Macaca fascicularis: one gene and its partners. The main gene of each other region encodes a partner of the protein of the gene in region 5 in a complex. Links are inferred from orthologs where the notes say so. Each region holds a gene or a part of one and is shown on either strand. Other genes may lie near its edges.

What was found.
Region 1: TBL1X (region 5) and CORO2A share a complex: the UniProt entries of both Homo sapiens proteins name them as parts of the N-Cor repressor complex. The link is inferred for Macaca fascicularis from reciprocal best matches to the Homo sapiens genes TBL1X and CORO2A.
Region 2: TBL1X (region 5) and ZER1 share a complex: the UniProt entries of both Homo sapiens proteins name them as parts of the E3 ubiquitin ligase complex. The link is inferred for Macaca fascicularis from reciprocal best matches to the Homo sapiens genes TBL1X and ZER1.
Region 3: TBL1X (region 5) and GPS2 share a complex: the UniProt entries of both Homo sapiens proteins name them as parts of the N-Cor repressor complex. The link is inferred for Macaca fascicularis from reciprocal best matches to the Homo sapiens genes TBL1X and GPS2.
Region 4: TBL1X (region 5) and ZYG11B share a complex: the UniProt entries of both Homo sapiens proteins name them as parts of the E3 ubiquitin ligase complex. The link is inferred for Macaca fascicularis from reciprocal best matches to the Homo sapiens genes TBL1X and ZYG11B.

What each region holds. Positions count from the first base shown.
Region 1 is NC_088389.1:59,998,214-60,003,534, reverse strand, and holds part of CORO2A (coronin-2A), read right to left. Parts: intron 5,138-5,321; coding exon 5,047-5,137; intron 3,716-5,046; coding exon 3,441-3,715; intron 1,790-3,440; coding exon 1,658-1,789; 3' UTR 1-1,657.
Region 2 is NC_088389.1:15,181,458-15,187,456, forward strand, and holds the start of ZER1 (protein zer-1 homolog), read left to right. Parts: upstream 1-2,435; 5' UTR 2,436-2,610; intron 2,611-3,030; exon of another isoform or gene 3,031-3,377; intron 3,378-5,999. UniProt on the Homo sapiens protein: Serves as substrate adapter subunit in the E3 ubiquitin ligase complex ZYG11B-CUL2-Elongin BC. Acts to target substrates bearing N-terminal degrons for proteasomal degradation with the first four residues of substrates being the key recognition elements.
Region 3 is NC_088390.1:7,368,284-7,374,305, reverse strand, and holds GPS2 (G protein pathway suppressor 2), read left to right. Parts: upstream 1-2,022; 5' UTR 2,023-2,076; exon of another isoform or gene 2,077-2,152; intron 2,153-2,293; 5' UTR 2,294-2,362; coding exon 2,363-2,456; intron 2,457-2,816; coding exon 2,817-2,926; intron 2,927-3,010; coding exon 3,011-3,123; intron 3,124-3,254; coding exon 3,255-3,334; intron 3,335-3,425; coding exon 3,426-3,508; intron 3,509-3,689; coding exon 3,690-3,843; intron 3,844-3,941; coding exon 3,942-4,031; intron 4,032-4,120; coding exon 4,121-4,200; intron 4,201-4,287; coding exon 4,288-4,383; intron 4,384-4,567; coding exon 4,568-4,651; 3' UTR 4,652-4,747; downstream 4,748-6,022. Other genes in the region: NEURL4 (neuralized-like protein 4), read left to right, coding at 1-7, 1,083-1,287; EIF5A (eukaryotic translation initiation factor 5A-1), read right to left, coding at 5,780-5,842. UniProt on the Homo sapiens protein: Key regulator of inflammation, lipid metabolism and mitochondrion homeostasis that acts by inhibiting the activity of the ubiquitin-conjugating enzyme UBE2N/Ubc13, thereby inhibiting 'Lys-63'-linked ubiquitination.
Region 4 is NC_088375.1:181,984,103-181,990,081, reverse strand, and holds the start of ZYG11B (protein zyg-11 homolog B), read left to right. Parts: upstream 1-2,289; 5' UTR 2,290-2,490; coding exon 2,491-2,520; intron 2,521-5,979. UniProt on the Homo sapiens protein: Serves as substrate adapter subunit in the E3 ubiquitin ligase complex ZYG11B-CUL2-Elongin BC. Acts to target substrates bearing N-terminal degrons for proteasomal degradation with the first four residues of substrates being the key recognition elements.
Region 5 is NC_088395.1:9,143,176-9,149,011, forward strand, and holds the start of TBL1X (F-box-like/WD repeat-containing protein TBL1X), read left to right. Parts: upstream 1-1,711; 5' UTR 1,712-1,934; intron 1,935-3,484; exon of another isoform or gene 3,485-3,922; intron 3,923-4,489; exon of another isoform or gene 4,490-4,932; intron 4,933-5,836. UniProt on the Homo sapiens protein: F-box-like protein involved in the recruitment of the ubiquitin/19S proteasome complex to nuclear receptor-regulated transcription units. Plays an essential role in transcription activation mediated by nuclear receptors.

The DNA of each region.
Region 1 (5,321 bases), on a different chromosome or scaffold from region 5:
GGTGGCAGTCAGCAGTCATGGGCACAGCTCTGAAGTCTGCATCCCTCCATAAGGGACAGCATCTACCCACATCAGGCTGGTTTCTGGTTGGAAAGGTTGGTTTGGACCTCCTGCCTGTGTTGTAGAATTGGGTTGAATGCCCCTGGCCCCTTGCCAGTGTCTGTTAGTTTCTGCAGCAAACCCAGATCACCCCATAGGTAGTTTTCCCTTAGGTCAAGGTTTCAGGTGGCAGATCCTGCAGACAGCAGCTTGTTCCAGGGTACTCCTTGTTCAGATGAAGAAACTGAGACCAGAGAGGGCAGGACTTGCAAGAGGTCACTGAGTAAGCTGGGGCACAGTTGAGGCCAGAAGCAACAGATTTCTACTCTGTGGGCTGAGAACTGCATCAGACCCAAAACAACAAAAAGACAGACCCGGAAAAGCAGGATCTCAGCCCAGCCCTGCCATGAAACAAGTATCACCTGCTTCTCTCTGGGCCTTAGTTTCCCCACCTGTAAAATGAGGAACTTGGGTGAAATCACTAGTTTTCAAACTTCTAAAAAAATTTTTTTTTACTAGCAGAATTGTTTTTCATATTAGCCCAACATATAAAATAAAAGGGAGCTATCTGGTTGGAACACAGTGTGGGGAAGGGAGACACAGCCTTCCTGCTTAGTCTCCCCCTATTCTCTCTCTCTCTTTTTTTTTTTTTTTTTTTGAGATGGAGTCTTGCTCTATCACCTAGGCTGTAGTGCAGTCCACAATCTTGGCTCACTGCAACCTCTGCCTCCCAGGTTCAAGCAATTCTCCTATCTCAGCCTCCTGAGTAGCTGGGATTACAGACACCTGTCATCACGGCTGGCTAAGTTTTATTCTTTCTTTCTTTTTTTTTTTTTTTTGAGACGGAGTCTCACTCTGTTGCCCAGGTTGGAGTGAAGTGGCATGATCTTGGTTCACTGCAACCTCCGCCTCCCAGGCTCAAGTGGTTCTCCTGCCTCAGCCTCTCAAGTAGCTGGGTTTACAGGCATGCACCACCACGCCCAGCTAATTTTTGTATGAGATGGGGTTTCACCATGTTGGCCAGGCTGGTCTTGAACTCCTGACCTCAGAAGATCCGCCCACCTTGGCCTCCCAAAGTGCTGGGATTACAGGCGTGAGCCACCACGCCTAGCCTAATTCTTGTATTTTTAGTAGAGACAGGGTTTCACCATATTGGCCAGGCTGGTTTCAAACTCCTGACCTCAAGCAATCCGCCTACCTCAGCCTCCCAAAGTGCTGGCATTACAGGCATGAGCCACTGCATCTGGCCCACTCTTCCCCTATTCTCTGGACCACAGTTTGAAAATCACAGACAGGTCAACCGAGGTCCTTCCAGCTCTAGTTTTCTACTGTGTTTCTTCCTCTTGAGAAGTTACAGCTCATCATGGACCCTTAATAACAGAATTCAACAGAAGGCATCGTCTGAAAACAAAGTCAATTCAGAAACTGTTGCTGCAAGAAGGCAAATAGAAAAACGGCACCATGTCCCACTGGAATCTCTTTCAGCGATGGAGAGTTTTGTTTTCTGGTAAAAAATATAGAAATAGTGGTTGTTCTTAGGGGGACCTGTGGTTTGGTTCTAAACCTCCCCACGGAGCCGAGTGGTGTCCCTGAGGGTGAGGAGGGCAGAAGTCTCTGCTCAGAGCTGCTCTGAGCCCATCCGCAAGTTTTTGATCTCCAGTTCCAACTGTTTGGCCTGGACCTCTCGCTGGGTCAACAGCTCCCGGAGCCTTCGGATCTCCTCCTGTTGTCGGTAGAACATCTGCAGTAACTGGGGAAGAAAGATTGGAAGGCAGGATCACCAGGGTGTCAGAACACCAGCTGAAAGCTAAACTGCTATCCGTCTTTGACTCAGAAAGGTGGAGGTGGTTACATTAACACGGCAGAGGGCTGATGAGGCTGTCACTGCATAGATCTTTTACAAACACCTTGTTTTCTTCACCCAGTAAATGAAATTCAAGAAGACTGGCATGTTTCAGATGTATTTTGCCTCCAGAGATCCTCCATGGAATAGAGGAAAGCATGCCTGGCTCTGAAGTCTGGGGATTGGTGTTTATGCCACCACTGAACTGTGTGACCTTGGGCAAGTTATTTACCCACTCTGAGCTTCCATTACTTTCTCCGGGAAATGGGGTCAGAAAACTGCCCTCATCATTATCATAATTGTTGCCGCTGTGCAGAATAGGTGTTAGATGTTGAGTGATGCCCTAAGGGCCTTCGTTATCCCACTGGAACATTTTGACACCCCTATAAGGGTGGCAGTGCCAGTGTCCCCACTGTACCACTGTGGAAACGGCAGCTTAGAGACATTCAGTCTCTGGGTCTGAGACCCTAAATTAGTACTCAGCAGAGCCAGGATCAGAATCCATCTGTGAGATGCCGGCCTCTGTGTTCTTAGCCACTTCAGACTGACTTCCAGGGCTGTTGAGAGAATTCAATCACATGCTATATCAAAGTGCCTACCCCAGGATCTGCCACACAGTAGGCACTTAACAAATGTGGACTTTGAAAGCACAGAAAATCCTATAATATCAGAACTGGAAAAACTTTGATATCCATCAGGTCAAACCCTCTTCATTTTACAGATGGTTTCCCACCATCTTTCTTTCTTTCTTTCTTTCTTTTTTGAGACAGAGTCTCACTCTGTTGCCCAGGCTAGAGTGCAGTGGTGTGATCCTGGCTCACTGTAGCCTCTGCCTCCTGGGTTCAAGTGATTCTCCTGCCTCAGCCTCCAGAGTAGCTGGGATTATAGGCACGCACCACCACACCCAGCTAATTTTTGTATTTTTAGTAGAGACAGGGTTTCACCATGTTGGCCAGGCTGGTCTCAAACTTCTGGCCTCAAGAGATCCGCCCACCTTGGCCTCCCAAAGTGCTGGGGTTACAGGTGTGAGCCACTGCACCTGGTCCCCACCATCTTTTTTTTTTTCAAGATGGAGTCTTGCTCTGTTGCCCAGGCTGGAGTGCAGTGGCATGATCTTGGCTCACTGCAACCTCTACCTCCTGGTTTCAAGCCATTCTCCTTCCTCAGCCTCCCGAGTAGCTGGGACTACAGGTGCGTGCCACCATGCCCGACTAATTGTTGTATTTTTAGTAGAGATAGGGTTTCACTATGTTGGCCAGGCTGGTCTCGAACTCCTGACCTCGTGATCTGCCCACCTTGGCCTCCCAAAGTGCTGTGATTACAGGCGTAAGCCCCCATGCCTGGCCTCCCACCATCTTTATCTATGCCCATTATTTTGGCATAAGACGGAGCTCACTGCCTGTTTGTTGAATGAATTAACAAAATGAGTCAAGCAACCAGGCCAGGCCACACAGATGGTTATTCTCATGCCTCATTTTCTCCCTTCTTCTCAGCCTGGATCTGCTGCCCTCCACCCCAGCTGCCCCATGTGAAAGGCCCACCCCGTTCTCCTTCACACCTCATTTTCTGTCTTTGGTGGGGGGCATTCGAAAACATCAAAGCCATTTGTCAGCCAGGATTTCTTCTCCTCCAGCCTGTGCTCTGCTGCCCATCTTGGCGTCTTCTCCTCCAACAGGGAGGAAGACCTCCAGCCATCTTCTGCAGCCAGCTTTTCTGCCTGGTTCAAGAGCCGGGGTGAGGCTGGGGCCATGGAATGGAAGACAGGTCTCTCTGCAGGCAGTGGGTGGGGTCTCAGCAGCTCAGAGCCAGGCCTAAGTGACACCAGGATTGGGTCTGGAAGGGAAGCAGAGCTGTGTGAGGACTGGGTGCCCATGGGCAGATGGGCATATAGGGCACCAATGACACAGGCAGCATGCACAGATACTCAGAGCCATGCTGACCCATGCAACAGGTGTGGGAAATACAGCTACATGTGGACAGGCACAAAGCCACAGAGCAGGGCTACCAGATACAAATACCCACATGTGCCACCCTCGAAGTGAAGCTTGTTTTGTAGGAACAGCACGGTGCGTGCACTGGAGCAGCCCCCCAAGCACTTCAAGCTCACGTGAGACCTTGCCCTTCCTTTGTAAGGACGGTCCCACCCACACTGCACCCCGCCATCTACCAAGTCCATTAGTTCTCTCACCACCTCCAAGAAGCAGGGGAGGCTGGCATCATGGCTACAGATGAGGAAACTGAGGCCCAGGGAGCAAAACCTACTTAAGGTTATCCAGAACTACGACTTGGCACTGGTTCCCTGTCCCCCAAGGCAGAGGCTCTTCCAGTATACCAGGAGGCCCACTCAGCCGCTGGGGTGGGGGTGAAGGAAGTTTGGGGGGTAGAAGGGAGAGGGAGCGGCTGGGGTGGCTGCTTCCGCTGGGCTGGCCTTCATGTTGGCAGGAGCAGGAGAGTGGCTCAGGACAGGCAGGGCAGGCAGAGGGACCTGGGTGGGGGTTGCTGCCTGGAGGACTTCTTGGGTCAAGAAGAATTGAAAAAGGCCAGGCACGGTGGCTCACGCCTGTAATCCCAACACTTTCCGAGGCAGGTGGAGCACTTGAGGTCAAGAGTTTGAGACCAGCCTGACCAACATGGCGAAACCCCATCTCTACTAAAAATACAAAAAATTAGCTGGGCATGGTGGCACGTGCCTGTAGTCCCAGCTACTCAGGAGGCTGAGGCATGAGAATCACTTGAATGCGGGGGTGGGGGTGGAGGTTGCAGTGAGCTGAGATTGTACCACTGCACTCCAACCTGGGCAACAAAGCGAGACTCTGTCTCCAAAAAAAAAAAAAAAAAAAGAATTGCAGAGCTAGGGGTGGGGAACGGGGATGGGGAGTCTGGCTAAGGTGGTCCAGGCACCCCGCATAGCCTCAGAGTGTAAAGAAGCTTTCCATGGAGCAAAGTCCCTTGAGCTGGAGTTTCCTGAGCCCTCAGGTCAAGCCCCCTGACTTTCTGGACCTGTATGTGACCATGCTACCCACTGGGGACTGAAGGTCAAGGGCATGACCTCTGAGGTTATGAGAGAATAAAAATCCAGGCCCAACCCCTCTCAGTTGCTTGGGGCCATTGGGCACTCCACGTTCCTGCCACATTTGTCTGGGCCTCTCCTCTGTCTTCCTCACCTTGATTCATCCCGCTGAGCCACTCCTGGGCCGTCAGGGAGGGCTGGGCCCCTGCTGTTGGAGGGTATATGTCCTCTTGGTAGGATTCCGACTGTAGGAGAAATCCAGACAGTGAGGAGGGTGATAGGGTAGGCTGCTCAGATGGGAAGGGCCCTTAGAGCTGGGAGTCCAGGCTCTCCCCAACCCCTGCTGAATTGAGGAAACGGAGGCCCAGAGAACAAAGGGACTTGCCCGAGGTCACGCAGCAGCTCAAGAACAGAGGTGGGCCAAGACCC
Region 2 (5,999 bases), on a different chromosome or scaffold from region 5:
CGTTTCTCTCTCTCTCTCTCTCTCTCTCTCTTTCCTTTTCTTTTTCTCTTTTTCTTTCTCTTTCCTTCCTTTCTTCTTTCTTTTTTTTTTTTTTGAGACAGAGTCTTGCTCTGTCACCCAGTCTGGCCTTAGCCTCCCAAGTAGCTGGGACTACAGGCAGTTGCCACTACACCTGGCCTTTTTTTTTTTTTTTGTATTTTTAGTAGACACAGGGTTTCACTGTGTTGTCCATCTGAGGTGTTGTCCACCTCAGCCTCCCAAAGTGCTGAGATTTCAGGCAGGAGCCACCACGCCCTGCCTAGACGCTCTTTTCTTGAGGAACCCTTTCTTGACAGGTGCCCCCCTCCATTCCAAGAACTAAGTTTGTGGATTTTTTTTCTTGCATAGTACCTTTTAATCTTTGACCACCTACAGCTATGTTCGTACAGTCTTGAATCCTTAAAAAAGCTGTTGGGCTTGGCGCAGTGACTCACAACCTATATTCTCAGCAGATGGGGTTGTCGAGGCTGAGGCTTAAGCCCAAGAGTTGGAGATCAACCTGGGCAACATAGGGAGACCTCATTTCTACAAAAAATACAAAAATTAGCTGGGCATGGTGGTGCGCACCTATAGTCCCAGCTATTCGGGAGGTTGAGGTTGAAGGACTGCTTGAGCCTAGGAGGTGGAGGTACAGTTTTACACTCCTTTAGATATAATCAGAGAGACAATAACGATTGTTGATGAGGATGTGACTATATGGGAACTCTCATATTAATACATCACTTGGGCCGGGCGTGGTGGCTCACGTCTGTTATATCAGCATTTTGGGAGGCCGAGGCGGGCAGATCACAAAGTCAGGAGTTCGAGACCAGCCTGGCCAACATGGTGAAATCCCATCTCTACTAAAAATACAAAAGTTAACTGGGTGTAGTGGTGCACGCCTGTAATCCCAGCTACTTGGGAGACTGAGGAAGGAGAATCACTTGAACCTGGGAGGCAGAGTTTGCAGTGAGCCAAGATTGTGCCATTGCACTCCAGTCTGGGCAACAAGAGTGAAACTCCGTTTCACAAAAAAAAAAAAAAAAAGCCCAGTTTGTGGCTCACGCCTGTAATCCCAGCAGTTTGGGAGACCGAGGTGGCCTGATTGCCTGAGCTCAGGAGTTCGAGACTAGCCTGGGCAACACCAGGAAACCCTGTCTCTACTAAAATTAAATAAAATAATAATAATAATAGGCCGGGTGTGGCAGCATGTGCCTGTAGTCCCAGCCACTCTGGAGGCTGAGGCAGGACAATTGTTTGAACTCGGCGGGGGGCGGGGGGGAGGTGGAGGTTGCAGTGAGTGGAGATCAAGCCACTGCACTCCAGCCTGGGCAACACTGCGAGACTGTCTCAAACAACAACAAAAAAAGAAAGAAAACAGAAAACAAATAGGAAATAAGAAACAAATAGCAGACCGGGCACTGTGGCTCACGCCTGTAATCCCAGCAGTTTGGGAGGCCAAGGCAGGCAGATCACAAGGTCAGGAGATCGAGACCATCCTGGCTAACACGGTGAAACCTCGTCTCTACTAAAAATACAAAAAATTAACCGGGCGTGGTGGTGGGCACCTGTAGTCCCAGCTACTCGGGAGGCTGAGGCAGGAGAATGGCGTGAACCCAGGAGGCGGAGCTTGCAGTGAGCCAAGATCGCACCAGTGCACTCCAGCCTGGGCTACAGAGAGAGTCTCCGTCTCAAAAAAAAAAGAAAAGAAACAAATAGCAAAATGGACTTAGAGTCAACCAGGAAAATAATCACAGTGAATGTAAAGGTCTAAACACTTCAAGTAAAAGGCAGAGTTTCTCACATTGGATAGAAAAGCAAGCCCCGGGCTGGTGCCTGTAATCCCAGCATTTTGTGAGGCTGAGGTGGGCGGATCACCTGAGGCCAAGACTTTGAGACCAGCCTGCCCAACATGGCGAAACCCCATCTCTACTAAAAATACGAAAATTAGCTGGACGTGATAGCAGGCGCCTGTAATCGCAGCTACTTGAAGGCTGAGGCAGGAGAATTGCTTGAACCCGGGGAGTTTGCAGTGAGCTGAGGGCCATTGCCCTCCAGCCTGGGCAACAAGAGGGAAACTCCGTCTCTCAAAAAAAAAAAAAAAAAAAAAAAGAAAGAAAGAAAGGAAAAGAAAAGAAAAAAATATAAATCCAGAAAAGAAATGATGGTGTTTTGAGATGGAGTCTCCCTCTGTCGCCCAGGCTGGAGTGCAGTGGTGCGATCTCAGCTTATTGCAACCTCTGCCTCCTGGATTAAAAGGATTCTGCTGCTTCAATCTCTTGAGTAGCTGGGATTACAGGCGCGCACCACCACGCTCGGCTAAACTTTTGTGTTTTTAGTAGAGACGGCGTTTCACCGTGTTGGCCAGGCTGGTCTCCAACTCCTGACCTCAGGTGATCCGCGTGCCTCGGCCTCCCAGAGTGCTGGGATTACAGGCGTGAGCCACGGCGCTCGGCCAGAAGGGACTGGTTTGAGAGGATCCTCAGGACTTGGAGACTGGACAAGGGGCCCAGGGAAATGCAGGGGCCGACGTCGCCTCCCAATTTCCCATCTGGAAGCTCGGTTGCCTGGTGGCTCATGCCCTAGATGGAGGTTAGTAGCACGTTTTGGGGGACGGTGATGACTGCGGGTGGACACGCGATTGTGAGCCACCCGTGGAGAACGCAAGACATGTTCAGTAGGGCGCTGGATGGAGGGGGCTGGCGCCCAGTCAGTCCTGCCCTTCAGCAGTGTTGGGCTCAGGTGAACCGCAGCGCCCGGGCGGGCACTGATCCCGGGGTCCCACGAATGGGCCCCTCGGAGGCCAGGGAGAGCCCTGAATGACGCGTTCTCTCAGGCGGCCTGGGGGCGTACCCGGCGGCCTCCTCCACCGGCCTAATGTGCCGGGCCCGGGAAAGGAGCCGCCCGCCGGTCGCCGGAACCTTCCGCCGTCGCCGCCCGCGTTAGCCGCGGGACTAATCGGGGGAACCCGTTCGCTGTTGCTAAGGGGCGGCCCCGGAAGTGACGCGCCCCAGGTTTGTTGACAGCGGAGGCGGCGGCGGCTGCAGCCTCCGAGCCGTAGGAGCCGGATCGGGGGAGGGGCCGGGCCCGGGAGCCTCAGCCCCGCCGGCAGCCCTGAGGGCAAGGTAACCGCCACGGGGTCCCCGTCGCGACCCCCTTCCTCCCGGAGCTCCCGTCCCCGGGATCCCAAGCTCCGCCCCGCCGACCCCCGTCTCCCCTGGACCCCGGGTCTAGCCTGACGAGATCCCCAACCTCCTGAGGTGCTCTGGCCCCGGATTCTCCTGGGCTGCATTCTCCGCTCCTCCTCGCCTGCGAAGCATCACGTCCGCTTCCCGACGCTGAGGGCAGCCCCATCCAGGGTAGGTCCCGTACCCCGGGCCAAGGGATGTACCTGCGTCCTCCTTCGTCTCCTGCCTACTGGGCCTAAGCATCGCCGCTGCAACCACTCTCTGAGGTCCATCTTGGCCAGTGGTGGGAGGGCTCCTTTCTCTATCCCTGCCGCCAGGTCTGAGAATCGTGTCTTTAAAACTGAGCTCCCTTCCTCCAGAAAGAAAATGACGCTCTGTCGTTTGCCCCTACAAGATGGGGGATCGGTGTAGGCTGAAAGGGCCACCCTCTGCCCCTCCTACCTGTTGGATGAGCTTAAGTTCCCCCAGAGAAGTGCTTAGAAGCTCAGGGACGACTTGGATTCTGGATCAGCTCCCAAAAGGGATGACACAAAGTATAGGGAAATCCAACAGGGTGAGGTTGCAACCGGAGGGCCAAGGGAGCCGGCCCGACAGGTGAGTTGATAGTGAAACTGACTGTGCTGGCCACTATGGCTCTGTGGGTGGATCTTGTCTTGGCTGCTCTTTGACCGAAAGAGCCGCAGGTCTCCAGTCTTTGCCTGTGTTTGTAAGTCCATTCGTTTTGTTTTGTTTTTCTTTTCTTCCTTTTTTTTTTTTTTTAAATAGAGGTGGGGTATCACTTTGTTACCCAAGCTGGTCTCGAACTCCTGGGCTTGAGTGATCCGCCCCCTCCAGCCTCCAAAAGTGCTGGCAATACAGGCTTGAGCCACCGCGCCCGGCTAGTGCATTTGATTTTTAAGGGGAGGGGAATATCTGATGTCTTGGGAAAATCCTCCCATATATGATCTTTCACAGAATGTTTCTCTTCAGGCTTCAAACTGGTGAGGATGAACATGAAAGCATAGCTTTGAAAAGGGTCACAGGAGGCTATACTTAGAGCAGAAAGTGGTGGCCGGGGTGAAGGGCCTGGCTACTTTGGTTCATTTGTTCATTCAGCAAATAATAAACATGATATGTAAGGTGGTAATAAGTGCTTTGGAGAAAAATAAAGAAGGAAGGACTATGGGGATGGAGTTGGGAGTTGTCTTTTTATAGAGGGTGTTCAGGGAAGGCCTCTAGTAAGGTGACCTTTGAGCAGAGATAAGTGAGGGAGCAAGCCAGGTAGCTCTCTTGTGGCAGAGCATTCCACAGCAAATGCAAAGGTCCTGTGGTCATATGCCTGGTGAGTTGAAGAAACAGCACGAGGGCCAGGCACAGTGGCTCACGCTTGTAATCTCAGCACTTTGGGAGGCTGAGGCAGCTGGATCACCTGAGGTCAGGAGTTCAAGACCAGCCTGGCCAACATGGTGAAACCCCATCTCTACTAAAAGTACCAAAAAAATTTAGCTGGCCGTGGTGGCTCATGTCTGCAATCCCAGCTACTCAGGAGGCTGAGGCAGGAGAATTGCTTGAACCCGGGAGGTGGAGGTTGCAGGGAGCTGAGATTGTGCCGTTGCACTCCAGCCTGGGTGACAAGAGCGAGACTCTGTCTTAAAAAAAAAGAAAGAAACGGCCGGGCGCGGTGGCTCAAGCCTGTAATCCCAGCACTTTGGGAGGCCGAGACGGGCGGATCACGAGGTCAGGAGATCGAGACCATCCTGGCTAACACGGTGAAACCCCGTCTCTACTAAAAAATACAAAAAACTAGCCGGGCGAGGTGGCAGGTGCCTGTAGTCCCAGCTACTCCGGAGGCTGAGGCAGGAGAATGGCGTAAACCCGGGAGGCGGAGCTTGCAGTGAGCTGAGATCCGGCCACTGCACTCCAGCCTGGACCACAAAGCGAGACTCCGTCTCAAAAAAAAAAAAAAAAAAAAGAAAGAAACAGCGGGACGATGGGGGACTGGAGCAGGTTGAAGAAGGGGAAGAGTAGTTGGCAAGAAAGTCAGAGAACAGTGGGGACCAGATAATGGTGGGGAAGACATCAGGGGCTGCCCTTGTGATATAGGGCCACAGGGTGTCTAATGGGGACACCCTTTCAGAACTGTACTTGTTGAAGTGTCTGGTGGTTGGAGAAAATACAGATTTGTTTTAGATGACAAATGGCCATTGTGCTTGGGGCTTCGGTTATAAGTACCCTTCTTCCATCTTTGTAATGACCATTGATGGAATAAATACAAAGAATCATGGTCACAGAGAACTGCAATTAAATCAAGTTAAGTTATGCCGCGGCTTCCTGGTTGTGAGAATGTGGGCATGGGAGCTTTTTCCACCTCAATCTTCTCATCTGGAAAATACGGCAGGCTGGGCGCGGTGGCTCACACCTGTAATCCCAGCACTTTGGGAGGCAGGTGGATCACCTGAGGTCAGGAGTTCGAGACCAGCCTGGCCAACATGGTGAAACCTCGTCTCTACTAAAAATGCGAAAATTAGCTGGGTGTGGTGATGCATACCTGTAATCCCAGCTACTGGAGAGGCTGAGGCAGGAGAATCGCTTGAACCTGGGAGACAGAGGTTGAACTGAGCTGAGATCACGCCACTGCAGCACCCCAACCTGGGCGACAAGAGTGAAACTCCATCTCAAAAAAAAAAAAAAAAAGAAAAGAAAAGAAATTAGGGCTGTTGGATTAAATAAAATCATGGACTGAAGTGCTTAAATGCAATATTTCACACAAAGTGCTCAATAGCAGCCACACTGATGATGATGTGATGATGAGAA
Region 3 (6,022 bases), on a different chromosome or scaffold from region 5:
AAGTGCAGTGAGTACTGGGAGGGGTGGGGAGAGATCTCCAGGGGCTCGGATGAAGAGGGCCTGAGCGCAGCCACTGGGGTCTTCATGATTTGCCCTCCCCTTTTCTCACCTCCTCTTGCTAGCTGCCAGTCTCCAACTCAGCCCTTTTTTCATTCATTGAACAAATACCACTTATATACTCTTCTAGTGGGCAAGAAAAGGAACCTTGCTCTTGTGGAACCTCTGCCTTTTCTCTCTATAATGTTCATACATAATAAGTATTTATTATTTATTTATTTATTTTTGAGACGGAGTCCTGCTCTGTCATCCAGGCTGGAGTGCAGTGGCATGATCTCGGCTCATTGCAACCTCCACCTCCCGGGTTCAAGCGATTCTCCTGCCTCAGCCTCCTGAGTAGCTGGGACTACAGGCGTGTGCCACCAAGCCCGGCTAATTTTTCTAGTAGAGATAGGGTTTTGCCATGTTGGCCAGGCTGGTCTCGATCTCCTGACCTCGTGAGCCACCCGCCTCGGCCTCCCAAAGCGCTGGGATTACAGGCGTGAGCCACCGCGCCCAGCCAGTATTTAGTATTTTTAAAGGTAATAAGTAAGGACTATGGAAACAAAGAAAGAGTGGGGCGAAGGAGACAGCAGTGTGGCTGGTGTGGGCATCGTAAGAAAGAGTGGGGCGAAGGAGACAGCAGTGTGGCTGGTGTGGGCATCGTAGGAAAGAGTGGGGCGAAGGAGACAGAAGTGTGGCTGGTGTGGGCATCGTAAGAAAGAGTGGGGCGAAGGAGACAGCAGTGTGGTTGGTGTGGGCATCGTAGGAAAGAGGGGGGCGAAGGAGACAGCAGTGTGGCTGGTGTGGGCATCGTAAGAAGGTGGGAGAGATTCGAGCAAAGGCTTGAAGAAGGAAGTGAAGGGTGTAGCTGAGCAGGCTTTGGGAGGAAGAACATTTCAGGTAGAAAGAACAGCTAGAGTGAAGCTCCTATAAGGCGGGAGTATTTCCTAGGTACAGCAAGGCTTGTGTGGTTGGAACAGACTTTGCAAGGGGGAGGTGATGGGGAGAGAAGCTTCACTCCCTTATTTTTTCCTGTTTGACAGATTCCGGGACCCCAAATCCCAGCGGACGCACCAGGCTCAGGTGGCGTTCCAGGTGTGTGTGCGCCCTGGCTCCTACACCCCGGGACCCCCTTCCGCTGCCCTTGGAGAACCTCCTGACCCTCACTTCAGTCCAGCCGAACTTGAGTGGGTCACTAAGGAGAAGGGGGCCACACTCCTCTATGCCCTGCTGGTACGGGTGGAATGAGGGGTGACACACAAATACTACAAGCACAGTCGGGCCTCGGGCCCATGGACTCTGGCGACTGCCTCCACCTCATTCCCGTGACTCGTGGCATGCGCAGGTGCTGGAGCTTGGCAGCCGCGCAGGAGCATGTAGGCAGGCTCTCAGATGTAGGTGGCAAGTGGCACAGCTCCATGTCTGGAGGCCCAGCACTCCGTCTGATGGGAGGAGCCGTGGGAGCCCAGCTCCAGGCCCTGGTACCCCTCTTCATGCACTGATTTGGGGAACATGACTCCCTTTTACTCCCCTTCCCCACATCACTTAATTTATTTCCGTTTTTGTTTCTGGTTACTGTGAATCCCAGAGGAGTCTCTCCCTGTGCCCACATGAAGCTGCTTTTTCCGGGGCCACCAGGCGGGAGTGGGGAAGGGTGGGCGCACGGAAGATGGGGGCCTCTGTACAGTTGTTACTGACTCTGATTTCTAAGGAGCCAATAAACACCGTCTCAGAGCCTCCGCCTCGGCCTCTCTCTCGCGCGCCCCTCCCCGGAGCCCGCGTCCCCTGGGGTGCCACCAGGTGGGCCCGCGAAATTAAAGAGAGCTGAGGATGCCAAGACCAGTTTACAGCCCTCGTCGCCCGCGTTCCCGGCTACGGGGTTTGGACGCCGCGGGCACCCGTCGCAGCGCGCTTCCGCTTTCTCTCACCCAACCCGTGAGGTCGGCCGCAGCCGTGACTCCGGAAGGACTTGGCCGGGCCGCCGGATGTGACGTACGGGCCAGGGCGCGCCGGAGCTGCTGAGAAAGCGCAGAGAAGGCGGGTAGGGAGGGCTGGCGTCCGGGCTGGCTGGGCAGGGAGCGGCAGCACCGAGTCGGGGATCCCGGCGCCGCCCGTGCGCGCGGTGGAGCGGGGGCTGCGGGCCCGGCCGGGTGGCGGGCTCCTGGGACACGTGACCGGGGCGGCTAGCGGGTCGGGCGGACGGGCTTCCGCCTGGGCCGGGCGCGGTCCCCTCTGAGCGCCCGCCTCCCCGCAGGCGCCGTCTGAGGTCTGGCAGTCAGAGACAGAGCCGGGCGCCCACGGCCCGAGCGCCCACGGCAGCACCATGCCCGCACTCCTGGAGCGCCCCAAGCTTTCCAACGCCATGGCCAGGGCGCTGCACCGGCACATTATGATGGAGCGGGAGCGCAAGCGGCAGGGTGAGCCGGGGCCATAGCGGGGGGACACACGGCCCAGAATGGCTCCTGTACCTCAGGGTTGGCCTCAACCCAGCGGCCAACCAGTGAGCCCGCTGCCGAGCGCAGAGGAGGGAAGGAATAGCCCCGTTGTGGTGGGATTTAAGCGTCCTGGTCCACGCTCCAGAACCCTTGAGACGGGAAGGACCTTGGAGAGCACCTGATAAAGCCTCTCCGTTCCCTATTGCAGCGATGGGGGAGCTTGTCCCCTCGAGGCAAAGAGCGCACAGGCGTGTTGGGATGACTGGGTTTTGCTGGTCTTCAATCTAACGTTGGAACTGTTTTCACTACCCTGCCTCTTCTTCATTCTGCCTGATTCTCCAGAGGAAGAAGAGGTGGATAAGATGATGGAACAGAAGATGAAGGAAGAACAGGAGAGAAGGAAGAAAAAGGAGATGGAAGAGAGAATGTCACTAGAGGAGACCAAGGAACAAGTAAGCAGTCCCTTGAACTCTCCCAGCTTTGATTTCTTCCCTTGACTCTCCCTGCCTTCATCTTCTCTTCCCACTCCCTCCCAGATTCTGAAGTTGGAGGAGAAGCTTTTGGCCCTACAGGAAGAGAAGCATCAGCTTTTCCTGCAGCTCAAGAAAGTTTTACATGAGGAAGAAAAACGGAGGCGAAAGGAACAGAGGTAGGATCAGAGTACTAAAAACTGAAATGGGGGCCAAGTGGAACTGGGATCAAGTAATAAAAGAACTAGTGTTTAATGGCGAAAGAGAAGGCATCTGTCCTTAGCTTTGACCTGCCTTCCTCTCACTCCAGTGACCTGACCACCCTGACATCAGCTGCATACCAGCAGAGCCTGACTGTCCACACAGGAACTCATCTCCTCAGCATGCAGGGTGAGGACTAAAGAGACCACCTGATGGAACCGGCCTTCTTACAGGTTGCAGCCTCCCATTTCAGCATCATGAAGCCCTTCTCCCTTTCTAGGGAGCCCTGGAGGACACAATCGCCCAGGCACCCTCATGGCAGCTGACAGAGCCAAACAAATGTTTGGACCCCAAGTGCTTACGGTGAGAGTAGGATTGGATGCCCAGCCCCTACTGCTTCCATCCATGCATCCTTGCCACCAGTATTCAAGTCACAAACATATCAAGCACTTAAGTTTAGGGGGAAATGGGGCATACAGATATACACAAGTCACTGGGTTTCAGCTTTCAAGTTTATAGGCGAATTCTCATTCTCCCTCCTTAGACCCGGCACTATGTGGGCTCAGCAGCTGCTTTTGCGGGGACACCAGAGCATGGACAATTCCAAGGCAGTCCTGGTGGTGCCTATGGGACTGCTCAGCCCCCACCTCACTATGGGCCCACACAGCCAGCTTATAGTCCTAGTCAGCAGCTCAGAGGTGAGTAATAGGAGGGATGGGGCTTGGCCTTCCTCAACGTCAAAGGAGGAATGCCGTTGAGTAAAAGGTTTTAATGGCTCTGTCTTTTCCTTTCTCAGCTCCTTCAGCATTCCCTGCAGTGCAGTACCTATCTCAGCCACAGCCACAGCCCTATGCCGTGCACGGCCACTTTCAGCCCACTCAGACAGGTGATAACATCCCATGCAGGAGCTCTAGCTCTCTGGGTCCTCCCCTCCCTGTTTCATTCTCATCTCACATGCCCCTCTTCCCCACGTAGGTTTCCTCCAGCCTGGTGGTGCCCTGTCCTTGCAAAAGCAGATGGAACATGCTAACCAGCAGACTGGCTTCTCCGACTCAGTGAGTATGGCATCTTGGGAGGTCAGGGTTAGGGATATGTTAAGGGGAGCATCAGTATGCCTCAGGCCCTGACTCTGTTCTCTGCAGTCCTCTCTGCGCCCCATGCACCCCCAGGCTCTGCATCCAGCCCCTGGACTCCTTGCTTCCCCACAGCTCCCTGTGCAGATGCAACCAGCAGGAAAGGTAAGAATGATAATAAAGTTTACCTGTCAGAATCCTTACACTAGGGATCCAGAAAAGCAGGATTAGGTAGGACCGGTGGCCCACATCACCTGGTTTTTCTTCCTCTCTGGGGGTGGTTACCAGTAGGGCATTAAGTGGGAGAGTACGCCCAGTGACAAAGCCCTCTTTTCATCACCACCGCCAGTCGGGCTTTGCAGCTACCAGCCAACCTGGCCCTCGGCTCCCCTTCATCCAACACAGCCAGAACCCGCGATTCTACCACAAGTGACGATCAGATTATATCTTCAACATCATGCCCCCTGCCCCACTGTGGGTGAGGATACCCCCCGTGTGTCCCAGGCCAATAAAATCTACCTGCCACTGACCCTGGCTGCTGCTGTTTGTGTTGCCTCCCACCCAACTGTCTGGAATAGGTCAAGGCTGCTTGGGGGGTGGGGGGATGACTGGCAGGTCCACAGCAAGTCAGTGATAGACAGCGGGTTCCATGAACTCAGTGGCAGAGTTCAGTCTTTTTGTAGCTTCCAAATATACCCATTTAATTCAAATAAGCAGCTGAGTTGGGGGCTTCATATTAAACTTGTAGTTTTATTCAGGTTTGATTTTAACAAATGTGTCGGGGAGAGAGCCCGCAGGGAAGGGTAAAGCCCACGGGGGCAGGGCCCTCCCAGATGCCTGAGGAGGGGGCAGGTCCCCTCCCCTCTCCTCCTCTTCCCTCCCCATCTAAAGGGGTTTGGGGAGAGACACAGGCAGGGGAGGGGGCTGGTCCCCAGTCTGTTGGGGTGGTGCTCAGGGTAAAGGGCTATGGGCAACAGGGGACCAGACCAGGGCTGAGTGGGGAGGGCACAAGGACCATTTGCCAGAATCCACCACTTTCTGATTCCAGATTGAATTAAAAAAAAAAAAAAAAAAAAAAAAAAAAAAAAAAAAAAGACTAAACCACAAGCAGCACCCACCCCCTTCTCCCCCACCAGGGCTGTAGTGTGAGGGGAGAAGAGGAGGGCAGCTTCACCAAGGCCACGGCTTCGCTTGCTCCTGGCCAAGGGAGCTAGGTGAAGGGGAGGGGCTCCCCGACAGATTGAAGGGGTGCAGAAAACCAAAATAAAACGTCAAATAAATTTGTGTAGGAGTCCAGCCTACGACCAGGCCAGAGCCAGGCCAGGCTGGGGGAGGGGGCCTCTGCAGGTTCAGAGGATCACTGCTGCCACCACCGCCACCCTAGGTAGGAGAGAGAAATTAGTAAGATAGGATAATACCTTCAACAGGAAGGATAGGGAGGACAGGGCCAGGCTAGGGGCACAAAGTAAGCCTGGAACAATTAAGACTAGAGCAGATCTGCTGAGGACAACAAAATGTGAAGGGGATAGTGAGGGATTTGTCACACTCACCTGGGAGCCAGTTATTTTGCCATGGCCTTGATTGCAACAGCTGCCTCCTCTGTCATGGCAGACAGCACCGTGATCTGGAGGAGCAAGAGAGAGAGCCAGGAGATGTCTGAGCTCAGGAAGAAACGTACAGAACAAAGCTGAGCACAAAAGCAGGGAGGGGGCCGGGCGTGGTGGCTCACGCCTGTAATCCCAGCACTTTGGGAGGCCAAGGTGGACAGATCACGAGGTCAGAAAATCAAGACCATCCTGGCTAA
Region 4 (5,979 bases), on a different chromosome or scaffold from region 5:
TGATCAGTGGACTAGTGACCGTCTAGAAATGGTTTGTCACCAGTTTGTGACAGCAATTCAGAATTAATATTTTGAAACTTTTATAACAATTTGACAGAAAAATTTTATGTGTGCTGGATTTAATAATAAAAATTCTGCCTAGCATAGTCAAATTAATAGAGACAGAAAGCAGAACAGTGATGGCCGGGGATTGGGGGAAGTTAGGAATGGGGAGTTATTGTTTAATGAGTACAAGCTTTCAGCTTTGCAAGATAAAAAAGTTCTGGAGGCCTGGCACATCGGCTCACGACCGTAATCCCGGCACTTTAGAAGTCTGTGGCAGGAGGATTACTTGAGTCTAGGAGTTTGAGACAAGCCTGGGCAACACAGTGAGACCTTGTCTCTGCAATAAATAAATAAATAAATAACTAGCCAGGCATGGTGGTACGTGCCTGTAGTCCCAGCTGCTTAGGAGGCTGAGGTGGGAGGATTACTTCAGCCCAGGAGTTTGAGGTTGAGTGAGCCGTGATTGTGCCACTGTACTCCTGATGGGTGACACGGTAAGACCTTGTCTCAAAAAATAAATAAATAAAAGAAAAATAAGTTCTGGAGTTCTTGATGGGGATGGTTGTACAACAATGTGAATGTATTTAATACCACTGAGCTATACACTTTAAAATGGTTAAGCAGGTTTTAAAAAGTCTGGGCTTGCATTTTGGATGCTTGTTTTTAAATTTTAATTTTTTCTAGTAATTAATTTTACAGAAATTTAGTTTTGTGATTGGGGATAAAACCTGGGTCTTTTAGCACAGATGCTTGAGAACTGAGGAGGATTTGACATTAGCTAAAAGACAAATAATTCGCTTGCAGTAAGGAAAAGAAGGCAGAGAGTATCAAAGCAGAGTTACAGGTTAGTTGGAAGTCATGGTGGGTGCTGGGAACTTGTAGATGTTCTTTTTGGTTTGTTTGATTTTCTCATGAATTGGAAGCAAAATCATCAGCTAAATGAGGATGAGGGAGGAAGTGTTGGAGGTTTGAAGAGACAGGAGACTTGAAATAGTTATGTAGCAAGGTGGGAGAGTGTGTGAAACTGGAGAAATGTGGTAGGGTGGCCATGCATTATGGCCCCTTGACAATAATGATCTCAAATTTACGGGGAGTCAGTCAACCACTTTTGGCTTTTTCTCCACCCACTCCATTGCTGGAGTTCCGTCAGTACAAAGAAAGCAGAAAACGACTAGAGAAATGAAGGTAATACTGAAGAAATCGACTTCATGTACCTCATGTACCAAAACAGCTTAGATTCTATTAGATTCCATTTCATGATGGACAATAGAATCTAAGCTGTTTCAGGAAGAAAGTCAGTACATGAGGCCAGTGTGGGGAGGAATAGCGAAAAGGTAGTTGGATCAATGGATTTAGGGTCTTGGAGTTGAAGTTTTTGGAGTTGGAGTATTATCAGAGGGAGTGAGCTAGAAAGGAAGAAGGTTGTGGCCGGGCGCAACGGCTCACACCTGTAATCCCAGCACTTTGGAAGTCCGAGGCAGGTGGATCACCTGAGGTCGGGAGTTCGAGACCAGCCTGGCCAACATGGTGAAACCCCGCCTCTATTAAAAATACAAAAATTAGCCAGGCTTGGTGCCGGGTGTTTGTAATCCCAGCTACTCGGGAGGCTGAGGCAGGAGAATCACTTGAACCTGGGAGGTGGAGGTTGCAGTGAGCCGAGATCGCACCACTGCACTCCAGCCTGGGCAACAAGAGCGAAACTCCATCTCAAAAAAAAAAAAAAAAAAAAAAGAAAAAAAAAGAAAAAGAAAAAAAGAAAGGAAGAAGGTTGCGATGGGAGTTAGAGGATTAAAATTAAGATTGTAGAGAAGTTACAATTATTCGTATGAGCATGAGAGTGAGAGGCTGAGCCAAGAATGATCCCTAGAGAAGAATCTGCGAGGCCAGAGGATTGGAAGAATTAAGCGAATTTTGAAATCACCAAGAATTTTGACAATAGTAGTAATGAATGACAGTGAACCAGAAGCCCAAATCTTAAAGAATGATGATGAGTGACAGAGGGGTCTATAGGCGACCTAAGCGAGCGGTGCTCTAATCTCTTGTCATAATGTAATATTTAAAGCTCTTCATATTTTGAAGGGAGGCTAGGATTTAGGGGTGTGTTGCTCCTTTAAGGGTCTGGGAGGGGGAGAAACTACAGGTCGGGGTGGGGGGGGGGCGGGAGCCCTCGGCTGAGTCTGCGCATTGAGAGCGGAGGCGGGGCCAAGCGCGGGCTCGCGCGCCCGGGCGGGTCCTCGCGGGGGCGGAGTCTGCGCTCGGGTTCGGGCTGCGGCTGCGGCTGCGGCTGCGGCTGCTGCTGCTACACTTCTAGCTTAAGGGAAGGAGGCCGAGGCCTGGGCCAAGCCCGGAGCGGCCGCTCGCCGGAGCCTCCTGGAGCCTCCGCGCCGGCTCAGCCTGGGGGCGGGCTCCGGTCCGGCCCGCCGCCGCACCCAGGACGGAGGCTGCATGCCCGAGGACCAGGCCGGCGCAGCCATGGTGAGGGAGCAAGGCCTGCCCTAGCCGCAGCCGCCCGCCACCCTAGCCCCCGCCCGCCGCGCTAGCCCCTGCGGGCTTGCCCCTCCTTGTCTCTGGTGTCCCCTCGGGCTCCCTGCCTTTACCTCTTTCCCTCGTTACCGCCCCCTCGGTGTCCAGCTCCTCCTTGTCCGTGCTCCCCCATTCACCTGCTGGGGTGAACCCCTTTAGGTGACATCCACTGAATCTGCCTTCTCCCCGATGACATCCTTTTTATCACTCCCAGTGACAGCCTTTTTCGCATTCCTTTTGTCGCCCACTCCTTGTCCTTTAACCCTAACCCTTCCCTCCTTTCTCCTCTATCATTTTGCCTTTTTTTCCCTTATGTGAATTTTACTTCCCCCCCCTTTCCTCCCTATTTTTCGCTGCTCTTCCTTGCTCTTCTCACCCCTCTTCACCATTTTATCTCCACTGCCCCCTCCTCTCCGTGTTCCTTCTCCCCTTCGTCCTCTCCCATCCAGGTTTCCTCTTCCCTTATCGGATGTCCTCGCTCGGTTCGCTTTCGCAGCTGTCCCCATTTCCTTCTACGGGCTTCAGGGGTCTAAGCAGTAACAATTTGAGGACTGTTGCTTCCCGGGAGCTGTAGGTCGGGCAGATAGGGATTTGTAGGCTTGCTTCTTCCTTTTCGTTTTTGGAGGTATTGAAGAGATCCTGGAAGCCTATTAACTAGTGTCATTGCAAAACCGGAGTGGTGGTGTGTTACAGAGCAATGAAATGAGGGCCAGCATGCATACTGTGACCTCAGGAGAGATCTAGTCTTTTGACAGAAATAGCTAAAAAATGTTTCGAGTTTCTTTTTCTTTTTCTTTTTTTTTGAGCATCTTTTAATGTGGAGGTACAGCTGGAGAAATTTAAAAATACTTGTTTACAGACTTGACTATTATTACTTAAATGATTTGTTTTCATTTGGAGGCAGAGACCAAGGGCATTTGAAGACTGACAATCAGCTTGGCAGGTTGTGACTGTCTCTTTAAACCTTCTAAAGAGTTCATTTGTTTTGCTCTGTCTGCCTTTAGTTGGGAGAACCTTATATTTGCAAATTTTCTTTCTGTTTGAAAATAGGTTGAGGCTTCAGTTGGATTTTTTCGTTGAGTTGGGTTATAAGTGGTTTGCTGTACATTTATTGAAAACATTGCTCCAACATATGCAACAAGCTAAATTTTGGTCTCTGGGAGGAATAAGGCACAACTAAGTCCTGATAATTATGTTCCCCTAGGAGGTTAGTCAGTTTCTTTTTTTCCCTCCATCTGTTTTTTAGAAAAGTGATGTACTATTAAATTATTTAATCTATGAATTTTCCCTAACTCGCTCCTGCATTTTTAGTCTGTCATTTCCCTGTGTCTGTCTCCTTCACTTTCACACACTGTTATTGTATGCTAACCTGTTTCTCCCTGTGGAATGTAAGTTCTAGGTAGCAACCGTGCCTTACTTATTATTCCAAGTGCCCAGGCCAGCTAGGTGCTTGAATGATTCACTTTATGGTCTCATTTGCCACCTGACTAGTATAAACTTAAATTGAAATTTGAGGTAGCTAGTGGATTACACAGAAAGAGTGAGTCTGAGAATCGTCGTTTGGAGATGATCTTGCTCTGTGGCCCAGGCTGGAGTGCAGTGGCACAATCATGACTCTTTGCAGCCTTGAACTCCTGGGCTCAAGCAATCTTCTCACCTTAGCCTCACAAGTAGCTGGTACCACAGGCACGGACTACCATGCCCCACTAATTTGTTTTTTTTTTTTTTTTTTTTGAGACGGAGTCTCGCTCTGTCGCCCAGGCTGGAGTACAGTGGCGAGATCTCAGCTCACTGCAAGCTCCGCCTCCTGGGTTCACGCCATTCTCCTGCCTCAGCCTCCTGAGTAGCTGGGACTACAGGCGCCCGCCACCTCGCCCGGCTAGTTTTTTGTATTTTTTAGTAGAGACGGGGTTTCACCGTGTTAGCCAGGATGGTCTCGATCTCCTGACCTCGTGATCCACCCGTCTCGGCCTCCCAAAGTGCTGGGATTACAGGCTTGAGCCACCGCGCCCGGCCGCCCCACTAATTTGTAAAACTTTTTGTAGAAATGGAGTCTCGCTGTGTTGCCCAGTCTGGTCTTGACCTCCTGGATTTAAGCCATCCTCCCACCTTGGCCTCCCAAAGTGCTAGAATTACAGGCATGAGCCATCACGCCTGGGCAGAGAATCTTAATTTTGGTGCAAAAATGATATTGAGTGAGGTATGATGATATACTTTTCAGAATAAAGAGCCATCCTACCTAAGACATCACATTGCTAGATTTTTGAAAGTGTGGGCCCTTCCATTGAGAATGAATGTATGAGAGGGAGGAGTTATGAACTCCGCTTGAGGTATTTAGGATTCAAAAGTGTCCTTTGAGCTGGGCCTGAAAGTTGAATAGGGTTTTTATAGATCATTTTGGGAAGGGGAAGAATGCCTCATGAATATGAGTAGCAAGTAGAAAGGATGCCCTCACAGGGATTTTTTTTTTTTTTTAAAGAAAGAAAGTAGGAAGGAATTAGGATGCATTGTAGGAGGTAGTATTACCATTATATAGCATGGAAGGATGCAAGAATGAAGATGTGTAGTAGGAAATGAGGCAAGCAAGATATTGTCTTAGCCCATTCAATCTACTGTAACAAAATACCATAAACTAGGTAGCTTGTCAACAACAGAAATTTATTTCTCAGAGTTCGGAAAGCTGGGAAGTCCAAAATCAGTTCCCCAGCGGATTTGGTGTTTCATGAGGGCTGTTCCTGAGTCACCTTTTCACTGTTTTCACACATGGTGGCAGGGGCCAGGTGGCTCTCTGGGGCCTCTTTTATAAGGGCACTAATCCCATTCATGTGGGCACTACACTGGTGATGTAATCACCTCCCAAAGGCCCCACCTCCTCATACCATTACCTTGGGAATTAGGATTCCAACATATGAATTTAGGGAGACAGAAACATTCAGAACACAGCAGACATATTAGGCATGATTATGTTTTAAACTTTGCATCTAATTAACTTGATTTTTCCTTGATGGTTAAAACATGTACACACAGAGTAACAGTGTATGTATGGGAGACGTGAGGAGAAGGCAAAATATTAGCTTATTTTGAGCTAGGAATTATCAGTAGAGGCTACTTTTCCTAGTGCAGTATTTTTCGTAGATAATAAATACAGTTGAATGAATGGTTATTATAAAGCTTTGTATTTTATATTTGTTAATTTTTTTTTTTTTTTGAGGCGGAGTCTCGCTCTGTTGCCCAGGCTGGAGTGCAGTGGCGCGATCTCGGTTCACTGCAAGCTCCGCCTCCCGGGTTCCCGCCATTCTCCTGCCTCAGCCTCCCGAGTAGCTGGGACTACAGGCGCCGCCACCACGCCCGGCTAATTTTTTTGTATTTTTAGTGGAGACGGGGTTTCATTGTGTTAGCCAGGATGGTCTC
Region 5 (5,836 bases):
CTCGTATGCTTATTTGCCATCTGTATATCTCTGATGAGATTTTTTTCTGATTGTTTGCTCTTTGATTCAGTTGTTTATTTTCTCATCGTGGAGTTTTAAGAATTATATATATACACACGCACACATATACACATATGTACATATATATGTACACACACATACACACATATACACACACACACACACTTGAAAAAATTAGAGACAAGTTCTTCTCTGTTGCCCAGGCTGGAGTGCAGTGGTGAGATCATAGCTCACAACAGCCTCCAACTCTTGGCCTCAAGCAGAGTTTTACAGGTGTGAGCCACTAAGCTGGCCTGCATATTTTAAATACAATCCTTAATCAGATATGGAATTTGCAAATATTTTCTCCCATTCTGTGACTTGTCTTCTCATTCTCTTAACAGTGTCTTTTGTAGACTTTTCAAATTTTAGTGATGCCCAACTTACTGTTTTTTTTCTTTTATGCATCATGCTTTTGGTGTTCTAGCTACACAGTCATTGCCAAACCCAAGGTCATCTAGATTTTCTCCTATGTTATCTTCTAAGAGTTTTTATAGTTTTACCTTTTATGTTAGGGAGTATGTTCTATTTTAAGTTAATTTTTGTGAAAGATATAAAGCCTATGTCTAGAATTTTTTTTTTTTTTTTTTTTGCATATGGGTGTCCAGTTGTTCCAGCACCACTTGTTAAAAAGGATGAATTGCCTTTGCTCCTTTGTGAAAGATTAGTTGAGTATATTTGTGTGAATTCCTACTGCCTTTTAATTAAAATTTTGGGTACTGTATATGGGGAATGCTGGTGGTATTTGTTGCAAGCAGATTCTTGTTTTCCCCTCCCTCCAGTCAATAACTGAAAATAAGTGTTTGCAACACACACACACACACACGCACACACGCACATGGCTAGTGCAGTGGGTATCTGTGTACATCATTGTGGACCCCTCGCCCTGTTATCCTTCAGCTTTCTCAGAATACACTAGCTCCTTCCGGCTGTACTTTATTTCCTTGTTTTCTCCCACCTTATAGGACTGCACATTTGAAAAATCGTTGAAACAGATTAAATAACACAGTCTAATTATCACCTACCGTACAGCCCATCTAGCATTTCAAAAAGAGGAATTTTGGTGAGTTCATGATAAATGTAGGCGGTCTCTCTTCCTGTCTTAGGTCTTACAGTGTCCTTTGGGGCCCTGTGAATCTATGATAAAAGATATTGACTCTTTACGGGTAATAAGGCCGGTGGGATTATTGGGCTATTACCAACCAGTCAAGATGAATTCTGAGCTCTTTTGCTTTGTCAGTTACAGGAGATCAGCTATAAATCCTGGCCACACAGTGCTCCAGTTTGAGAGTGATGATTTCCACCACTTTCCCATACTTTAAAAGATTGGCATCTGCCAAGTGATCAAAACACACAAAGAGGCCTTTTAACCAAGTTTAGCTTGAATTTCCAGTTGCTAACCACAAGCAGGTCTGGCAAGCTAGGAGGCCGGTTGGCTGCGCAGCTACTCCAGAGTGTGCGGTAGCCGAGGGCTGCGTCCGCGTAAAGCCCAGAGCTGTAATGATGTCAACTTGTTATTTACTTTCCAAATCTGAATGACTGAGCAAGGCGAAAGGAGAATCAATCAACCACAATGTGACCCTACAGGCGGAAAAAACGCAGCGCTCCCACCAGCAGGCGGTGGGGGAAGGGAAGCACGTGTAGCCAGGGCAGGGTTGCATCATGAGCTCTTTCGCTCGGGTTTTCTATTGCACCCTTCGTTTTTCGATTGCATGTAATAGTCAGCATCAGTCTGCACAAGCCCAGGGAGCCCGGGAGCAACGAAGGGCAGGCTCAAGGGAAGGCCCCACCAAGTCCTTCTGGGGGGCCTTGAATGGCAACTGATACGTAATAAGACACAATCTATTCTGCTGATTCACAATTATGGAGACTGTGTAAGTGTGTATTTTTTTTATTGATGTCCTCTAATGATGGTGTAGCAACAGTCATTTTGCATCATTGACGTTTTACGGCAATATTTTGCAGGGTAATTTTGAGGTCCGCCTTTTTGATGGAGGACCGGCCTCTTAAAAACTCACCTCCGGCCGGGCGCGGTGGCTCACGCCTGTAGTCCCAGCACTTTGGGAGGCCGAGGCCGGCGGATTGCCTGAGGTCAGGAGTTCGAGACCAGTCTGGCCAATATGGTGAAACTAAAACTACTAAAAATACAAAAAAATTAGCTGGGCGTGGTGGCGTGCGCCTGTAATCCCAGCTACTCCGGAGGCTGAGGCAGGGGAACTGCTTGAACCAGGGAGGTAGGTGGAGGTTGCAGTGAGTCGATATCGTGCCACAGCACCCCAGCTTGGGCAACTGAGCGAGACTCCGTCTCAGAAAAACAAAAACAAAAACAAAAACCTCACCTCGGGTCCCCCTCCCCCCACAACCAGAACAACAAATGGTCTAGTGTTCGAGGAAGAGCAAGTAAGGTTATAGTTTAGATTGCTGAGTGCACCGGACTCTTAGCACGAAGCTCATTATATAGTAAAGGAAGGGGCAAGAATATTTGAAAAATATTCAACAAGGCTGACCCCAGAGGTGCTGGGGAGGGGGAGTGGAGATCTGTTTAACTGAATTAAGGCCGCGAGTGGTGGGGAGTAGCCTACGTGGAGGGGAGGAAGGAGCGCTGGGGACTTAAGTGCACCGGGGCCAGGCCGTGTAAGCCATTGCAACATTAAGCACTTTGCAAGGCCCAGAGGGCTGAAGCCTGGGGGTTGGGGTGGGAGTGCTGAGGCCCGAGGGCCCAGGTCCCCCTAACCTCCTCAGCCCCCACACCCGAGCTCCTGGCGCCTATGCTTGTGTGTCTGAGTTTGTCCCTAAGCGTTTCTGGCTCTTCCTGGGAGGTGTTTTGCAAAGGTCGAGGCTCCGCCGGAGCCCCCACTTTTTGAGGTGGGGTAAAGACTACTGGGGTGTCTTCTAAGACGCTTATTTTGAGGGAGATTCACCATCGGGCAGGTGGCAGGGGGTTCTCTTGGGGCAGCTGGGTGGCTTCCTTATTGGGGTGGGGGAGGGTAACACTTTAGCAGGGACCGAGGTTCCCCTGCCCCCCCGAAACAGAGGGGGTGGCCGAGGTTCCCGTCCCCTCGAGGCAGTCGTGGAAAGGCTGGGTTTGGGATGTGATGGGGGTAGCCCTGGGGTCCTCTCAGTCCCACGGAGGCCACGGGGAAGGGACCGGGACCGGAGCAACTCGGGAAAGGCTTGGGTTCCCCTCACCCACCCTAGGCGTTGGGGAGCGGGGCGGGCTTGGTAGGGACGCTGGTCCCCCGACCGTGGGGCAGGGGCTGGGTTGGGACGCGGGTCCCCTCTAGGAGCCGCGGGGGAGGGGCAGGGCCGGAGTCCCTACCCTCGTGGGGGAGGGGCTGGTTCGGGACGCGGCTCCCCCGGGGCTCAGGGGCGGGGCTGGGTGGGACGCCGGGTGCCCTCCCACGGCCGTGAGGGAGGGGCTGGCGGAGGGGGCGGACCCCTGGCGGTAGTCCTGGTTGGGGTCCGCGCGCTCGCGACCGCTCCCCGCGGAGGTCACTGCCCGTGCCAGTCCCTCCCGCTGTTCCGCCCTCTCCCGCCGCCGCCGCCGCCGCCTCCGCCGCCGCGCCCGGCTCAGCGGCCCCACTCCGCGCTCGGGAGCGAGGAGTCGCCAGCGCCCCCGCCGCGCCGCCGCCGCAGCGCCCTCCGGCCGCCATTCGCCACCGAAACTTTCCAGCGCCCGCGCCCTCTCCGGGACTCGGCGGCGGCGGGGCGGGGGCGGCCCGGGGGCGGCGCGCGGCTGCTCCAGGGCGCCGGGCCCTCTTCGGCCGCCGCACGGCCGGGGCTCGGAGGCTGCCGGCCGGAGGGAGGTTCGGAGCGCGGCCGGGCGCGCGGCGCCGCCACAAGTTGCGCTGTTCGCGGCGAGGTGAGTGCGCGGGGCTCGGCGGGCCGGGCGCGGGGTCCGCAAACTTCTGCGGGGAGGCGGTTCCCGCGCTGACCCTCCAGGGTCTGGCCGGCGACTCGGGGCGCCCGGACGCTCCACCCGCCCCTGGAACTACAGGAGGCGCAGGTCGCCAACTGTCCCCGTGGCGCTCGGACTGGGGTGCGGCGCGCTCCCAGGAGGCTGAACAATACCCCGAGGTGGCCGCTCCCCAAAGTGCCGGCGCGCCTTGCGGGGAGAGACAGAGGTCGGCGGGGGGCTCCTTTGTTTTGGGGAGGGGTAGGTGACCGGTAAGTTTATGGAAGAGCTCGGCTTTTCCTCTGGTGCCCCTTTGTCTGCCGATCTTGGGGCTTGCTGGGCAAACCTGCGCCACCGCGGGCTCGGGGGACCGGGGTGGAGGGCGGTGGCGGGATTTCCCCGCTGTTGGGGAGAGGAGCCCCATTCATCCCCGGGAAGCGGGCCGGCCCGCCCGGACCCGGGTGGAAGCGCAGCCTTACGAAGTGAGGCAAGCGGCGGGCGAGGTGGCGCGGGCCCCGCGTCTGCTCAGTTTCTGAGGCGCAGAAACTGTCAAGGAAGTCAGGAGCCCCAGTCCTCCGCCCATCTCCCCGGCCCGAGCGCACAGCTGGGCTGGGGACACCCCTGGCCGGTCGAGGGTCTGCAGAGCGCCGCCCGGAGAGAGCGCAGACCTGTTGCTGCTCCTGGGCTCTGGCGGGGCGGGTGGGGTGGGTCTCGCAGATCCTGGGCCCCGGCCTTGCTACCCAGGAGGACCTTCCCTAAGGATGGGACCGGTGCTCGGAGTGGGGTATGGGGAGTGCGCCTTCGGGAATCAGCGCTGGCCGGATATGTGACAACTGTGGGTCGCTGGAGGCCCGCCTGCGCTGGGATAGGGCCTGGACCTCACGTGCGTCGCCTGTGCTCAGTCAGACCGGGGCCGGGACTCGCTCCCTGCAAGGCCTCGTGTTCCCCCAGCCAGCTGCGTTGGACGTTCCACAAAGGTAGGGACTGACGTTTATTTTCCAGTCAGTGATGTTCTGGAGCAAAACCTGAAAAGAAACAAAAACCTATCCTCTATTGTATTTGCGACTGTTTCTGCTTTGCATTGTCATGTGTGACTTGACCTGCCTTCTGGATGTTTTCCTCTCCTGACACATTCGCCGAGCCCCTGGTTTCACCTGGAAGGCGAGGGGGAAGGACGGCAACCTCCCTGCTAAGGTCCCAGGCAGTGGCTTTGGTGTCGGAAGTGGCACTTGAGGATTTTATGAAAAGTTTACAAGTCTTTCCTAGAAAAGATGTGATTAGGAAAAATAAAATACAGAAGAATGTTCAGTATGACGCGTTTATTTTAAAGGGTAGTCATGTCTCAAATGTGCTGCAGATTCTTGTGGAAAGCCACCAAGCTGGGTAACTAATACAGACAACGAGTTTTTCACCGCTGGATCACCGGCCCTTAAGGCGATTCCAGCCCTTAATAGAACACACACCTGTAGGGCAAAAATGGAGATTTGTGGTGTAGTGCTGCCACCCTCGCTCCCCCACCTGCCCCTTTACTGGGCTCAGAGAACTTCTCTCTGCCAGTGGTTTTAAGGAGGAGACAGTTTGCAAAAATAATAACTTTATTGTAGACATACTTAAAAGTGAATGTTTCAATTTCTGGAGTTTTCCCATCAATTATATCAGTACCGCTGGTTCTGTACAACATCATCTTAGTTAGAATATTTTTTTTTCACCTTTTAAGGTGAGGAACAGAGGCGGGAAAATGGTCCCTGCACAGGGAGGCCATCTCCAGCAGGTCCCAAGTGTCAGGAATTCAGATATTCCGATATACTCCTGCTGGATAGGAGAACACCTCCGCTAGAACCTGGGCCTGGCCCCCTCCCAGTTTTCTGCAGGGCGTCCAAA